2 linked regions of the Styela clava genome follow. The protein of the gene in region 2 purifies or fractionates together with the protein of the main gene of each other region. This does not show direct contact. Links are inferred from orthologs where the notes say so. Each region holds a gene or a part of one and is shown on either strand. Other genes may lie near its edges. The genes, in order: neuralized-like protein 4 and drebrin-like protein B.

Region 1 (8,174 bases), on a different chromosome or scaffold from region 2:
GAGCACTACATTGCCCTCAAGTGTCCTATATAGTATATATTATACATTATCATCGTGAGCACTGTTTAACGACTGGCAGCTCTTCCCAAAGTTTTGTTTGTGGTCAATCACATATTAGCTTCTAGGACTAGGATCTATATACAACCAACGACTGAAAGACTTTCATCAAATGATTGCCCTGAAGTAGGCTATGTACAGGAGCAGGCACTCAAGACTATCGTGGTGTTTTTTTAATATGTGAGCGCAGATAATTGAAATCGCCATACTTTCGTGCCGTATCGTGTACAGAGTACAGAGTAAACTTTTCAAGCTTTTGAATAGTTGCTTGCAAAGAGCCTATTTCGGATAAACATAACATTCTTTTGAGGAGGTGCTTGTCCATATCATAGTTCGGAGCCAAAAATTCAATGTTGTCAGCTACCTACTGTGCAGAGACATTCGATCTAATAAAATATCTCAGTATACAGAAGGGACACTGCCGGCTTGTCCATATTAGCGATGCCGCTCGAGGGAATTTGTCCCCATAGCATAAACTTGCATTTACTCTCGTTTTTACCTTCTTCCGATTTGTTTTTTGTTTGGCAACATTTAGATTGCTTTGTATTGTACTGTATTTTTTTCTAATATAAATTGAAGTTATGTTTTGTTAAAAACTTTTGAAGCTACAGGACGTGGTATTTGGTTATATGGTCTTAATCACCAGTTGAATGGTTTGGTTGTACGGCAGCTATACACAAGATGTGTACTGTCAGTCAAGGGCGGTGTTATGTAAAACTAAACGTATTCTATTAATGTTATCCAAATGTCTCTGTGTCGTGTCTGACATTATAACTAATGTGGGCCTTTACGAATACATAATGATTGTGTGTGACGTTTTCGTTGTATCGGATCCTCCTGACACATAAATTACTGAAAACCTAAGACACATCACTCAGTCACATTGCTGGGTTGCCACACACAATAAAAAACATATTTCACAAGTAACTCACTCGAAAAAGAGTCATATACTAAGACTGCATTTTGAAAATACAATAGCCTCCATATGTGATGCGGTGAGGCTTGATCTAAGCGAGCTCAGTGGCAGTATTTTCAGCTGCAGAAAATAATTGCTCACTTGGAGTTGATGTTTCCGTCACACACATATACTTGCCAAACAACTTACTCATATAACCCGCTTTTTGCTCGTTCCCCCAAGTAAGGAGGCTTGAACAGTCAGAAAGTACTTTGGAACTAAAGAAATATGTTCACCTCATTGGCAACTGTTGGGACCTCGATATCTGCACTACCATGCATTAGACTCTGATGAATCGAAGGTAACACCATATTCTGTTGAAACAATTTCTGAAAGTACCACTTAGTCAACAAAATTGTGCTAAAATACCAACACTGAAAATGAATTTAAAATTTGAAGCGAACAGCGACAGCGAAAGGCCACCATCAGCATAGACCGTTCGCGTCGCATACGTGGCAGGCCGTCTTTTCCATATCAATCAACGAATCTATAGTAATACTTTCCTCTACCCACCACTTTTCTTGAGTGGTGATAATAATTCTTCAGATGATCCCCGTTCCGGGTGAATTTCATAGTCCTTGGGCGAATTTTCATAAATTGTCGTTTGTCGGCGTGTAGACAAGTTGTGCTGCTCCAAAAATCCAGGACACCATCGGCACGACACCGTCCCACAGAATCGGGGGCGAACCTCGTTTTGAGACATAAAGTTTTTTTTATTGTTTAGATATAATGTCGATGACATAAATAAAGATACCCAGGTGGGTGTGGAGTATATAATGTTGAGCAATTTTTCCTAAGTGGATTTCGGGGCGCTCCGGAAATATTCGTACCAAGATGACGCGTATCCTGAACCTTAACCTGGTAAACATACAATGTTCAGGTTGTGTGCCATCTTGGTACCAATACTTCGAGAGCACCTTTTTGTTAAAAACAATTATTTCATAACTACATGGGTTAGTTCTGAAGACATAGTAACATTGAATCTCCTCACAGTGTCAGAAATTCAATTTTAGTACAATAAATGGTAGTTCATTTCACTAATAGAAGCCAAGATCTATCGACAGCATCTAGCCACTTTTTTTGCACTCTTCAAACTACATTTGTGTTGCCGCGGGCGTTTCGTTTTCCTGCTTAAAGTTTCGGGACTTGTGAAATCGTTTATTAGTTGAAATGGATTGCAATATTTGACCTCGTCTTTCGCTCCGAACTAGGCCATGTAAAACCATCCACTGGTATCTAATGATGTGTAACGTGTTTTCTTTTGGAAGAACCGGAACCTTTCAGGTTCAGCATTGACTTCGGCCAAATTAATATATTCTTGTGGAAATAGAGGATATGCGTATGCGAAACCGAGATGTGCACCTTTTATGCCAACATAGTTGAGTCAAACATTTTGATCACTAGCACATCACATATATTTTCCTGAGTGCTTCGGTTGCATGGGGTAACGCGCACATTTTTGCGCACATGCATCAAATTCCACTTGTCTATTGATCTATAGGTTTTTGACGAGCTTTTGTGTATGATTTCATCCCATAGAATTTGTATGCTGTTCTAAAGAATACTAGTTTCAGGTTATTCATTTAAACCGCGTATCGGAAGTAAATTTGTAATATTGTGTGTTGGTTTTCAACTGGTTTATTGATATCCATCATTTTGACATCTTTAAATCGGTGAAGTCTTTCAAGAAGACTTGCTCGAGCCAAAGTAAATGAGCATCATCAGGTGATCGGTAAGGCTGCAAGTTGATTTCAGCCCTGCAACCTCCTACATAGAAGATAATATTAATTAGTGGGCTATGAGCTAAATTCCTAAATTTAGACGCAAACCTATCTACGAGGCAATATGTACCATCAATGTTACCTAAGATAAACTGAATATGTAATATGTCTAATAAATTCACCTACTAAAGCAAGTTCGATGGGTGCAAACTTTGTGTTATGGAATTGTATCACAGCACCGTTAAGAGAAGTATAAACAGTTTTGCTGTTTTGTATCACACCCTCTTTAAATGAAATTTCAATGTTTAAGTGCAAACATTAAAATTAGTCTTAAGTGATTCAAGAGTCTTGCTGCGCACTAACACAAATATATTTCTGTAACGTTTCGTCTGACCAAGGTCAGACTTCTTCAGACATACATAGTTATATATTTACGGTTCAACTATAACAAGAAAAGCGGTTACATTCCTTTTTTAAACAATAAATATTATTGAGCATGCATATGACCGAATTCTCTATTAAACTGACCTATTAAAATGTCGGTCGTGCATAAATCAGGACAAAACACCGATTTGGCAACTTTAATTTAAATTACTTTAGTTAAATCGTAAATATATACTACGTTAAATTTATTAAACGGAAGTCTCACTTGCAACAATGATTTTTGTTATTTATCGCTGATTTTATATTTGCGCAGCATTTCTTGACTGCTTACAATTTTTCTATTTTAAACCATGCTGCCGTTCCATATGGAGGAATTTGAATCGTCAAATCGAACGAAAATGTTTTTCGTTAATTTCCAATTTTAATAAACTTAATTAAATTACATTTCCAGCATTTGACGCCATGAATTTGAGATCCACAGAAAACTGTTGATGTGTATATTTTAGCCGATATTGCTCCAATCGAACAAAATATCGCTGTTATTTTCAATTCTAAGCCTACTCGTCGGCGCCCGAATGTCTGGCGTCAAATCTGTAACGGCGACGCAACATGACGTTTCCTTGGAAGTGAGCGACGTCAGGGTGACGTCAGTTCAACGTGTGCGTTAGATGCCATTATTTTGATATAAAAAAAATATTTGGATTTTATTTGTGTCTCGAGTATCAGCGACATCTCGCGATCAGTCTAATTTTTTATATACATTGATAACGTCCTCTGTCGAATGACGGTATTTTGACGAAGTTAGCATCGGTAGAAGTCACGATTTGAACCGCTCGAAAACTGAGTGTCAATTTTATGCTAAAACGAGATTCTTAATCAAAAAGTGGATTAAACTGCGCGATTGAATATGATAACAGATTGAGATATATAAGGACTCACTAAAGAAACTGCTAGAAGCACAATATGACGCTATTTAGTCGAGATATAAACGATTGAAAATTTCATTCGAAGTTACAAGGCACCCGAAGTTACTCGATTTTACCGTAACGAATTTTGCATATGTTATTCATAACCCCCACCTGACTATGTCATCCAAAAATTACGTCACTACGACTTCACCACGTCATAGGGCTTGCCAAAGTATAATTACGATCGCCCGAAATGGGAGGCGCAGTTCTTACCACTTTATGGCAGCTCCTGCCACGAACGAACCGCGGCAGCTCTTGCCATGGTTTTATAGCGCTATTCTGTATTCAGTAATCAGTATTAACGGTATATTCACAAACTAATGTACCAAATTCTAATTGATCATGGGGAATTATATCTACTTAAACCCTAACCCTAACCCCAAATCCATCAAGACTGTATCCATAAGAAAAACGTTCCAACTTACCCAATATTTGTCACCCTAAGGGACAGCCCTGTCCTTACGGCCCACCTGCCGCGGTTAAGGCAGCAAAATTTTACCTGCCATTGGTTTTCAATTTGCTGCCGCGGTAACGGCAGCTCGACATTGGTTTGTGGCAGCTAAAAATTCAGTCGCCATAGGTTTGGCCGTAGCGGCCATGGTATGGAAATACCGCCATGGTTTTGCGGCAGCTGCAGACGCCATAGAATACTTAAAACTGCACTTGCGAAATGGCATCTACGCCGCCGAAAACGAACTCGCTAAAGCTGGCGATCTCTCTCCTACCGTTATCGTCGTGACGAGAAAAATAGCTTGTTCGATTTCGGGTGATCGTCTGCGCGTTTTGGACGACCATCCGGATACTTTGGTGGGCCTTATTACGCCACCGTGACGTCGAAATGACGTAATTTTTCGGTGACGTAGTCAGGTGGGGGTTAGGATTGACATATGCAAAAGTTGTTGAGCCAGGCCAACTAGAAGTGCATGTGGAACTAAACTATACCGGTACCAGACCCCTAAACTATACTAGACCGCTTAGTCAATATTCAGATATTGCAATTTTCAACATCTTTCCTGTTCAAATTTTAGCTACTTACTGACATACAATCCATGCCAATGGATTGTCTGTGCCTATAATGCAACTGTTGGATATTTAAAATTAAATACCAATTACCTCAGTACTTGATAAATACATACAACATATGAAACATGAAGCATATGAGCCAACAAGAAATAAATTCAACTTTATAATTAACCCAGTGCAATATACCACTGCACAGAAGAATTGAAAACAACAAAGAGTAATTGTTTTTCAAATTTAAAATGACAAATGCACAAAAGTTTCACAGACGAACAGGTCGACTGGTTGAACTATCGAAACACTACACAAGTGCTGGAAGGAAGCATGCCAAAGAGGAATTCAATGATGGAATGATATTTTCTGAAAATCCATTGAAAGCAAATGAACTGTTTACCATATGCATAGACAAAAAAATCGCTTCATGGAGTGGTTCTATTGAAATTGGGCTGGTTGCAACAGATCCATCAAAATTAGTTATTCCAAAGGGGGCGATTGCAATTCGACATGGCAGTTGGTTTATATCCGGAACTTCGGTGAATATAGATGGTGTGGCAACAATTGATGATTATTGTCAGGACTTGGATTCTTTAGACATTGGAGATACTGTAGGTATCATGAGAAATGATAATAACCAAGTTCATTTGTATATAAATGGAGCTGATCAAGGTGTTGCTGCTGTGTGCATATATGAATCCGTTTGGGCTATGGTTAATTTGTATGGAAAATGTGCTGGTGTAACAATAGTCTCCGATTCAACAGTCTCTTTACCACAAGTTTCAAATCTGCAAGATTCATTAACATTTTCAGAAGTTTTATTTGACAGAAGAAATAGAAGTAAAATGTTGCAACATCAGTCTTGCTTTTTGGATGGAGAATCATTAGTATTTTATGCAAAATGTGGTTCTTTAATACAACTACTGGAAGGTGGTATGACTGCGGTCCGCTCCCATCATCAAGATGAGTTTAATAACGGTGTCGTTATGACAAATCGAACATTGAAAAATGATGAATTATTTGAAATAAAACTCAACGCCTTGACAGACAAATGGTCTGGCTCTATTGAAATGGGTGTTACTACACATGCTCCTGATTTGCTGGAGATCCCGAGCACGATGACAAATCTTCGGTCTGGTACAGTAATGTTGAGTGGCTGTGGGATCATTACAAATGGTAAAGGTAGCAGAAAACACTATCTAGATTTTCATTTGGACGAATTAAAAGTTGGAGATCATATCGGTCTAATGAGGAAAGAGGAAGGTAAGAAGTGACTAGCAATATTATTCAATTGGGTTTGATAAACATTATATGTAGTTACAGAGAGGAAGGAATTTATTGATCGTCAAATCAAAAAACAATATTAGTTACCACTCAACATGACAGAATTTTCAATATATTCAACTATTACTGTATTAATAACCAGAATCCAAACAAGAAAGTGCAATTCTTGATTATATATGAAACTTCAATCGTTGAGAAAAATAAATTTTAATTACCTCTTATACATTTTGCCAATTTGAACAAATTATGTTGAACATATTGCAGTTTTACGTGTAAGGTGTAACTATGACTGGTTGAGTAATCATGAGTTTTGGTATATTATTTCATAAAGCAGGATTTGTGGTTAGCTGGACTAGGTGCATCAACTATATATACTGCTACTAAATATATTTATTTCTATATTTTAGGTACTTTACACTTTTTCATCAATGGAGTAGACCAAGGTGTTGCAGCAAACAATATACCTCCTCATATATATGGTGTTGTGGATTTATATGGCAGAGCAGTCAGTGTTTCAATTGTTCCACATCACTCTGTTTTTGAAAGGTTTGTTCTTTATCCAGATAAAATGCTATCACCCATTTATTGATCACCTTTTTATAGATATCACAACAAGTTGATTAAATAATTTGTAATGATTTCATGAACTAATATAAACTTTTCAAATTCATTTTAAAATCAGTTACAGATGCCAAGTTACCATGTAATTTCAATTTCATTCTGTTATATATTGGTATATAGTAATAATAACTTTTTTTGATATGATGGATTATTTTGTCCAGGACATGGGTATGCAACTGTTTATCGCAATGACCTAAAACATAAAATAATGATGATGCTGATGGCCAAACTATTTAGCTATAGTAACCAGCAGAATGTTTTGTACAGCAATTTTACACTGCTATATTGCTTGCATAAATCAGGCATACCACATCCTGATTGTGTTGAACAAAGAAGTATTTTAGACACCACTCAGTGTAGAACTTATGCTTTTTATAATCATGTGACACAAAGTCAAAAATGCAGGTCTTGTTACGAATAGGAAAAAGCATCCAAAAATATGGGCCATATAAATAGGCGTGGCGTAGGCCATTCAGCTTTTGTTTACTTATTCCATAACGAAAACTTTTCCTCGTTATATTATTAGGAGTCGAAGAAACAATGCGGTTGTTGACAGAATTTTGCTTGATTCTAATCTTCTTGAAGAACGTGAACCACTTCTGTTTGATGTTTCATGTGGAAAGCACATCGAACTGTCATCGTGCAAGAAATCAGCCATGCGGCAAAATCCTCTGGAAGATTTTAATCATGCAGTAGTGCTGAGTGCAAGAACTCTGAATACTGGTGCGTACATTAGAAAACAAAGTTTGATTTTCATTTTCATCATCTTTGGTGTTGCCCCTTTGTTAATTTATGGTGGATCAAACCATTCCTCAAATATCAAATTCCCATGTAGGCTGACTTCAGCATTCTTGCATTTTATAAAATGATATATACTGGTTTAGCCTCATTCATGTGATATGATCATATTTGACAGTTATTTGAACAATCAAAAAAAAAATTAGCTATTAATCAGGTAAAACCCAAAATTATTTCCAATTTATCATTCCTATATATATTTACATTTTTACAAACATTTTTACTATATAATTAATTGCAATAATGCTAATATTTTATCGTGCAGGAGAAACCTTTACTGTTAAAGTGGAAGATGTTGTAGAAAAATGGTCAGGTTCATTGGAGATTGGTATTACGACATACCCACCAGAAGCCTTGAATTTCCCAGCAACC
Region 2 (7,947 bases):
GTTAGCTTTGAAGAAAATGTCATAATGAAGTCTTTATTTTAAGATCTAAATTAAGACATAATCGTTACATTTGAATATATGTATAAACTAAATGCAGTTTGGTAAAGACACAAATGAGGGAAATTGCTTTCCCTATTGGAATACGTTGAGTGAGGATTACAAAAGCAAATATATATAACTTGATATCATCTTATATCAGTTTCAATACAAATGATATTCATTAGGTAAGCTCACAATCAAATGATATGACCTTGGATTCAATTTGCATGAAATAAGAATATTGACCGAGTAAAGTATGACATAAATCATGATCTTATCTGCCTAAAATATAGCCAACAATTAATTATTCTAATGGAGGACAGAAACAAATTAAAAATTGTAGAAGCATATTGTTATATACTGAATGTTTTTTGATTGAAAAAAAAAATAGATATATTACAAGCAAACATTGTCTGACAGGATTTGAAAAAACTGTAATCAAAAAAAGAATGAAGTTCAAGTCTATTTTTGATTTTCGATTAAAACAACTATGAAATAATAGTGTTTTATAATTGGATACAACAATAACAAAGACAGCCAGATGTCAAAAACTGCATTAGAAAAATAATTAGGCGCAGGTAACATTGTTTATAACAGATAATAATACCATTATAGTTTATATGACATTCAGGTAAAATATATAATTAAAACTAGATTGAATTAGCCAACCGAGCTTTGATACAGCCATAGTTATTTATTAATAAATGATGCAACTATCTCGCCTAAGTAAAGTGATTGTTAACATTGAGAAGCAAAATAGCAAGAACATGTGTAGCCCGCTAGTTGGTGTTCATGTCTTAGTATAATATAATCTTGCGTGGATATATTATTGTGACTCATGCTTATTTACAAATATTTCACTTTCAAGATGCATTAGTATGTTTTCACAATACTCAATGTCAAAAAAACACTTGGTGATTGGATTGGTCCTATAAAGGCATGTTATAACTTAGGCAGCATCACAATAAAGAATATATTCTTTGGCAATTGCAGTAATTTACTCTGTAATAAGCTCCACATAATTAGCTGGAAAAAGTCCATACTTTCCATCTGGTGTTGAACCTCTCCACCATCCTTCATCAATCATTTCAATGTTAGTGATGATATCGTCTGGATCAAAAGTAATTTCGGAATCATCAGCAGCTTGATAATCATAAAGAGCTCTTGCTGAATGTGGACTTTTAATATCTTCATCATTACTTTCCCCAGGATTTTCTCCTACTGCATCATATATATTATCTTGTGCCCCTTGACCTTCGTCCTGTTGATTATGGCCCACTGCATCATAAACATTATCGGAAGTTTTATGACCTTCTGCTGCTTTTGGAGCAGATTCCAAACGCTCGACATAATTGAGAGGAAAAAGTCCAGAGTGTCCATCAGGGGCCACACCTCTTCCCCATGCCTCGTCCATATCTTCAATATCAGTGATAATATCATTGGGATCAAAACTGATCTCGGTCTCATCAACAGCTTGATAATCATAAATAGCTCTTGCTGAATATCCACTCTTATTTGCTTCCGCATCATATTTTGTGGGTTCCTGCTTATTGTCCACAATATTGTTATCGTTATTCCGAGTTTCTTCTTCGAATGTTTCATATTCTGGTTCTTCAACATCAGCCGGTTGATATGTTTCAATTGGTCTTTCGCCTTGTTTCGAGGGCTGCCTTTGAATAACAGGTTGACTTGAAGGAGTCGCTTCATTTATTTTTTGTTCCCATAAAGCACGCATATTAGTGTCTCGTTGTTGCACAAGATGCGCTGCTTCAGCTGCTTTCTCTATAGATTCACTTCTTTTTCTTCCCCGTTCTTCATGTGCTTCAAATTCACGTTGTTCTGCTTCCCATTTTTCTTTCTCTCTTTTACGAACATCAGCAGTGTCGTCAGTAAGTTTTGCAGCTCTTACTTTCTCACTAATTTCTTTTTCTCTTTCTTTTTCCCAATTTTGTCTTCTCATGCTTGACTCTTTTTCCCTTTCGCGAACTTCTTGAGCATATCTATTTTTCTCTTCTTGCGCCTTTCTCAATTCTTGTTTTTTCCTTTGCTCTTCTTCCCTTTCTTGCTTTTCCCAATAATTCTCATTTCTTTTGGAACTTATTTCTGCACCAGGATTTATCTTTTTATATACTGACCCAACAGGCTCAGATGGATCATCATATGAACCTTTTGTCTTGTCAAATGCATATGTAGACGCGGATGCACGATTAATATGCTCCATGATTTGCTCTGGGGTAACATCATCCTCGTTTCGAGCATTGATAGTAATGTGAGCTCCTTTAAAAAATCTTTCCACATCCCTAACATGGTTGGCACAAGCACCTTTCCTATTTGCAGGAGCACCTTCACCTTGCCAATGCAAAAATATGAACTTGTTGAGAGAAGTTTTTGGATCTTTAACTCGAATAAAAGCATACATGATCTTGGAACTATTAAATTCAGTTTCTAATTCTTCCAAGCCATCTTCTCCAGTACCTGCCACCTTCAATTCATTATCTTTACCTTCATACGTGAAAAGAGCCCAATCTGTGTCCGATTTTTCATCAAGAACCTCTTTGTAGGTATTGATTAACGCCTGTTTGTGTTTAAAAAAACTGACACTCATTTTTAATAAACAGCTGGATGAAATCACAAAGCAACACTAATTTTTGGTACACATATATATATTATATACAATCCAAATTCAAAGCTGAAATCCAGTCACGCTACTGCACTATTTTTGATATTGAATGTTATATTAGAATTTATTTATCACTCGATACAACATGTTATATTATCGAAGTAGAATGTGTGAAGAGGCAAAATAAAAGCTTAATCAAAACAGCCATATGAGATTCTAGGATTCAGACATCGCAGCATTGGGCTGGTGTGTGTCTGATACAAGACTTTGTTGGTGCCATAGTCACAGCAAGTGCAGAAGTGTCAGTACTTGAAATGAGTCAAAACTTTTTATGCAGTTAATGAGAAAATCCAAATCAGTATATACCGGGGGTCTAGTATAGTTTAGTACCACAAGTACTTCCAGTGGGCGTAGCATAACGATTTTAACGAGGAATAACATATGAACCCTCACCTGACTATGCCATCCAAAAATTACGTCACTACGACGTCACCATCACGTCATAGGGATTGCCAAAGTATAATTACGATCGCCCGAAATGGCATCTGCGCCACCGATAAGAACTTGCTAAAGCCGGCAATCTCTCTCCTATCGTGATCGTTGCGATGAGAAAACGAGAGAAATAGCTTGCTCGATTTCGGGTTATCGTCTGCGCGTTTTGGACGACCATCCGCATATATCGGTGGGCCTTACTACAGTATTACGCCACTGTGAAACCGGTAGGACGTAATTTTTCGGTGAAGTAGTCAGGTGGGGGTTAGGATTGACATATGCAAAAAGTGTTGAGCCAGGCCAACTAGAAGTGGATGTGGTACTAAACTATACCAGACCCTATACCGGTACCTGACTACCTGTTACTGTGTTATGGTCACCCTAATATTACAGTATTAGGGCTTCTTATCCCAGCATACATCTCACCATTTTCCCAACACTCAAGACACTAGGATTAAACTGGTTGATTCAGTACCGCGAATACAGTACTGCTGTAATATTAGTTGCATTGATAGATGATGAGGTTTATTTTGAACCCCGTCGTAGTAACCGTACCGGTACAAAAATCGCAACACACAACTACACATTTACACAATCAAAGTCCAGAAGTCGGGCGGGGAATGTATATTGACCATCGGACTAAAGCAATCCTGTTTCTTCAATAATAAAACGATATTGTATTACCGGTCCCGATATTTATTACGGTATTATATTATATATACTGATATATCACTGTATTACCGGCACCGATATTTATCACGGTATTATATTGTATTACCGGCACCAATATTTATCACGGCATCTCAGACTCAAACCCTACGTACGCTCAGGCGCTTGTGAAATTCGGCCACATTTTAGAGCTAAGTTAGTGTTTTGGAATCAGTAATCAGTAGTTTATTTTCTCACCATACTGAAAGCACACTTGACAACAGCAATTTTTACTCCATAAGTCAATATACTATTATATCGGTACCTTACAGACTTCTCGTTCACCAGTTACGGGTACAATAAGGGTATCTATTTCCCAGATTATAAACCATCTAGCCACCTGAGCACAGCCGACGCCATTACTGAACAAGATTAATTTAATTATTATCGCACTTGTTCTTTGTAAAGCGTGTGTGTAAAAAAGGATGCGAGATGTTACAACTAATTATGATGAATAAAAGTATAAAAATGAAGTTTCACAAGCACAAGTTTATTGTTTGAACCAATAAGCCTGAGGAATTCCTGATAGATGTTCAAAATTTGACACTTATGAACAATTAACGAAATTCGCAAATGAAGTTACTGGTAAATTTATTCATGCAGGTCAATTTATAATAAATCTGAAATTCAACGCGTTATGTGTAATTTAGTGTACTATGTACCCTTACTAGCCACCACATACCAAAATCCATTTTAAACTGGCAATGCACAATATAGACGTGTTCATATATATCAGACCAATGACTTCCCAACCCACCATGCACTTCCTGAATAGAGCATGAACGAATCAAGACTACAACATGAGTGGGCTGAAGTAATCAAAACGATTGTGTACTATTTTAAAATTCCGTTAGAAATATCATGATGGGACTGTTATTTGCTATGATTGACCATACATGTAAAGTGTCAACATGATGTCAGGGACCAAGATTTTGATTTGTCACGTACACGGCCTGGAGGGCAAAGAAAGAAATCTCGTGAACAACCCTGTAACGACCTCCTCAAACATGCTTTGCAAGAAAATGAAGTATATATACCGATAATCATAACTCTCTACAACTGTGATTGGCATTGCAGTTAGCGCCCTGAAGCTTTTTACAATTGGTTTTTATGGTACAGTAAATGAATTTCAAAAATTACATCTTTATTATTTAGTCACTGCAGTTCGTCCCGATACATCCAACGTAATGATCTTGGTATCACGGCCAGCAAATATATAAGATTTAGGCTACTAGTCAATAACGCGAATTTTTTTTTATCTGGTCGATAGCAAGAAATCTCTCCCATACGTTTGAAATGATTATTCTAAAACGTGTGAGAGAGGAAAACGTGTCAATTAAATAAATGGATATCGGTTTTAATATTTTAAAATCCCCTATTTCTGTACTTTCTAATTTTGTTTTTGATAAATGAAATTATAAGACATCCCCCGAAAATAAACCACGGGAGTAATAAACACACACTCTATAAAGTTGTTGGGTTACCGTACATTTGAACCCACGACAATTGCACCTGCATACTATTGCACCTATGGATTTTTTTCTGTTTTGCGGATATTTGAACCCATACTAACCCCAACCCATGGGTTTTAGCATCCGCATAGATTGAACCCGCGGATATACACATGGGTTGAAATGTACGGTCACCAAGTTGTTGATGGTTTAGTACTTTAGTTGATCGTTGACATTGTTTTCAAGCTTTATATGTTAATGTGTATTCTGGATTGCCGTTCTATTTACATCGCTATCACCGAGGAGTATAATATACTATACATATTATGGAAAAAAGACGACGTGACAAAGTCAGACCCAGATGCGTAAACCATTATTTTCAAAATATCAAAAAGGAATACGATCAACAATGTATCCAAAATTTGCACGGAAGTAGTTTAATTATTGTTTTTGTGAAATATATATATCATGTACAACAAGATGGGCCATGTTGTAGGCCTATGTGATTACAATGGGTAAAATGAAAAGATCCACAATAACAAATATCAGTTTAAAGAAGGGATTCTGGAAAATTTAGGATTGAATATGTTTGAAGTTCAATCTGGCATTTATTAATAATTTCCGAAAGGGACTTTCAAAGCCATTCATGCAGATTAATTTATACCAAAATTGAAATAGGCCTACACCATGTTATGCTCGAATTCGAAAACTGCGTACCTGTACTACATCTCTGAATCCATAGCAAACGGTTTACATGTATCAGATCAATAGCTTCCCAAACCACCATGCATTTCCTGAATGTGGACGCACAACACATTAAATGGATCATGACTGCATGAGTGGGCTGGAGCAATCAAAATTGTGTACTATTATGAAATCCCGTTAAAAATACTATAATATGAGTGTAACTTGGTATTTGTTTTCTATGATCCGCTTTATATGCAATGTGTGACAACAAGATATCGAGAAGCTTTTTTTGCTTCGTCGTTTACTTTACACCACCGAGTGGCAAAATTTCCAAACGTTTTTTGAGTGTTCACTTTGCACTGACTGTCAAGTTTCTATTAGCATGTACTTAATCTTATGTAACGAACAATATCGGCAATATTTTTAGGATATCGGCATTGGCAAAAATGACCCACATTTCCAATATCTTTAACCGTCTTTATATCTTTATGGGCAGTTTATTTGACATTTTTCAGCAAACCGATGATTTCAAAAAAAGAATCCATTTTCAGATTTTATAAACGCCAACTTGCGAAAACACTTTGAGTAATTTTTTTGGGGTCAGAGGTTGATAAATATCCACTTTGTCACCATTGATGACTACGCAACACCTCTGTGAAGCTAGCAGAACTTTCAGCCAGAATATTTTTACACATTGAATATAGGTTCCACGCGCATATAAATTTCACTTATAGTTACATATGAAACTGAAAAGGCTGATCAAAATATAATTTTAGCACGGAAATACATGAAAAATCTTCAAACTGAATGAATACATTGAATTTACCAAGAAAATAGTGTTTAAAAAAAGACTAACTCAGCGAAAAATGAATTTTCAGGTATTCCGCAAATACGAAGTTTCGAAAAATTATCCTTTTCGGAACCTCGATTCCCTGAAAACCGCCAATAAAGACAGCACCACGACACATTTAGAAAAAAGCAGATATCCTATAAATTCGATTTTTCTATAACAGAACAGTAGCAGCACGTCTTGGCTTGACCATATATATTACCAAACATATCGTGTAATCTAAATTTTACAAACGGCATGGACGTAACAAATTTAAAATTTATTTTGTATTTCAACTAAATTTGCTAGATAATTGATTAAATATCATTTTCTCTTTGTCACACATTAATACCGTACATCTATTAAACTTGGAATACGCTGCGGGAAGTATAAAACAGCAAAAAAACAATTGCGACTTCTAGTGGATTCTGTCCTGGATTACAAAAAATTATCGTTTTTAAAATGGCGATTTTTTGAAAACCACCAATAAAGGCAGCACTACGACATATTCGGATAAAAGCACATATATTATAGATTCGATTTTATTATGCCAGAACAGTAGCATCACGTTTTGACTTGGCCATATATAATACCAAACATAGCGTATATTCTTCAATTTTTTAAACAACGGTACGTAACATATTAAAAAAGGGTTTGTATTTGAACTAAAGTTGCAGGATAATTGATCAAATATCTTTTTTTTTTTGTCGCTCATCAATACTGTACGTCTATTCAACTTAGAATAAGTTTCAGAAAGTATAAAGTAATAATAAAAAAAAATTTGCGCATTCTCGTGAATTAGTTTGAGAATTTCGAAAATTATCGTTTTTGGAGTGGTGATTTCTCAAAAACCGCCAATAAAGGCAGCATCACGACACATTCAGAGAAAAGCACATACCTTATAGATTCAATTTTATTATGTCAGAACAGTAGCAGCACGTTTTGACTTTGCCATATATAATACCAAACATAGAGTATATTCTTTAATTTTATGAACAATGTGGACGAAACAAATTTAAAAAGGAATTGTATGTCAACTAAATTTGCTGAACAATTGATAAAATATATATTTTTCTCTTTGCCGCACATTAATACTGTACGTCTATTAAACTTAGAATGAG

Evidence for each region.
Region 1: the proteins of drebrin-like protein B (region 2) and neuralized-like protein 4 purify together in Homo sapiens (co-immunoprecipitation; 4 studies listed by BioGRID and IntAct, counting the BioPlex papers as one, with this or other methods). This does not show direct contact. The link is inferred for Styela clava from reciprocal best matches to the Homo sapiens genes DBNL and NEURL4.

The regions. Positions count from the first base shown.
Region 1 is NC_135252.1:6,170,103-6,178,276, reverse strand, and holds the start of neuralized-like protein 4, read left to right. Parts: upstream 1-5,088; 5' UTR 5,089-5,347; coding exon 5,348-6,362; intron 6,363-6,790; coding exon 6,791-6,929; intron 6,930-7,530; coding exon 7,531-7,727; intron 7,728-8,067; coding exon 8,068-8,174. UniProt on the Homo sapiens protein: Promotes CCP110 ubiquitination and proteasome-dependent degradation. By counteracting accumulation of CP110, maintains normal centriolar homeostasis and preventing formation of ectopic microtubular organizing centers.
Region 2 is NC_135250.1:12,756,571-12,764,517, forward strand, and holds drebrin-like protein B, read right to left. Parts: upstream 3,076-7,947; 5' UTR 2,645-3,075; coding exon 1,037-2,644; 3' UTR 45-1,036; downstream 1-44. Other genes in the region: negative elongation factor E-like, read right to left, coding at 1-23. UniProt on the Homo sapiens protein: Adapter protein that binds F-actin and DNM1, and thereby plays a role in receptor-mediated endocytosis.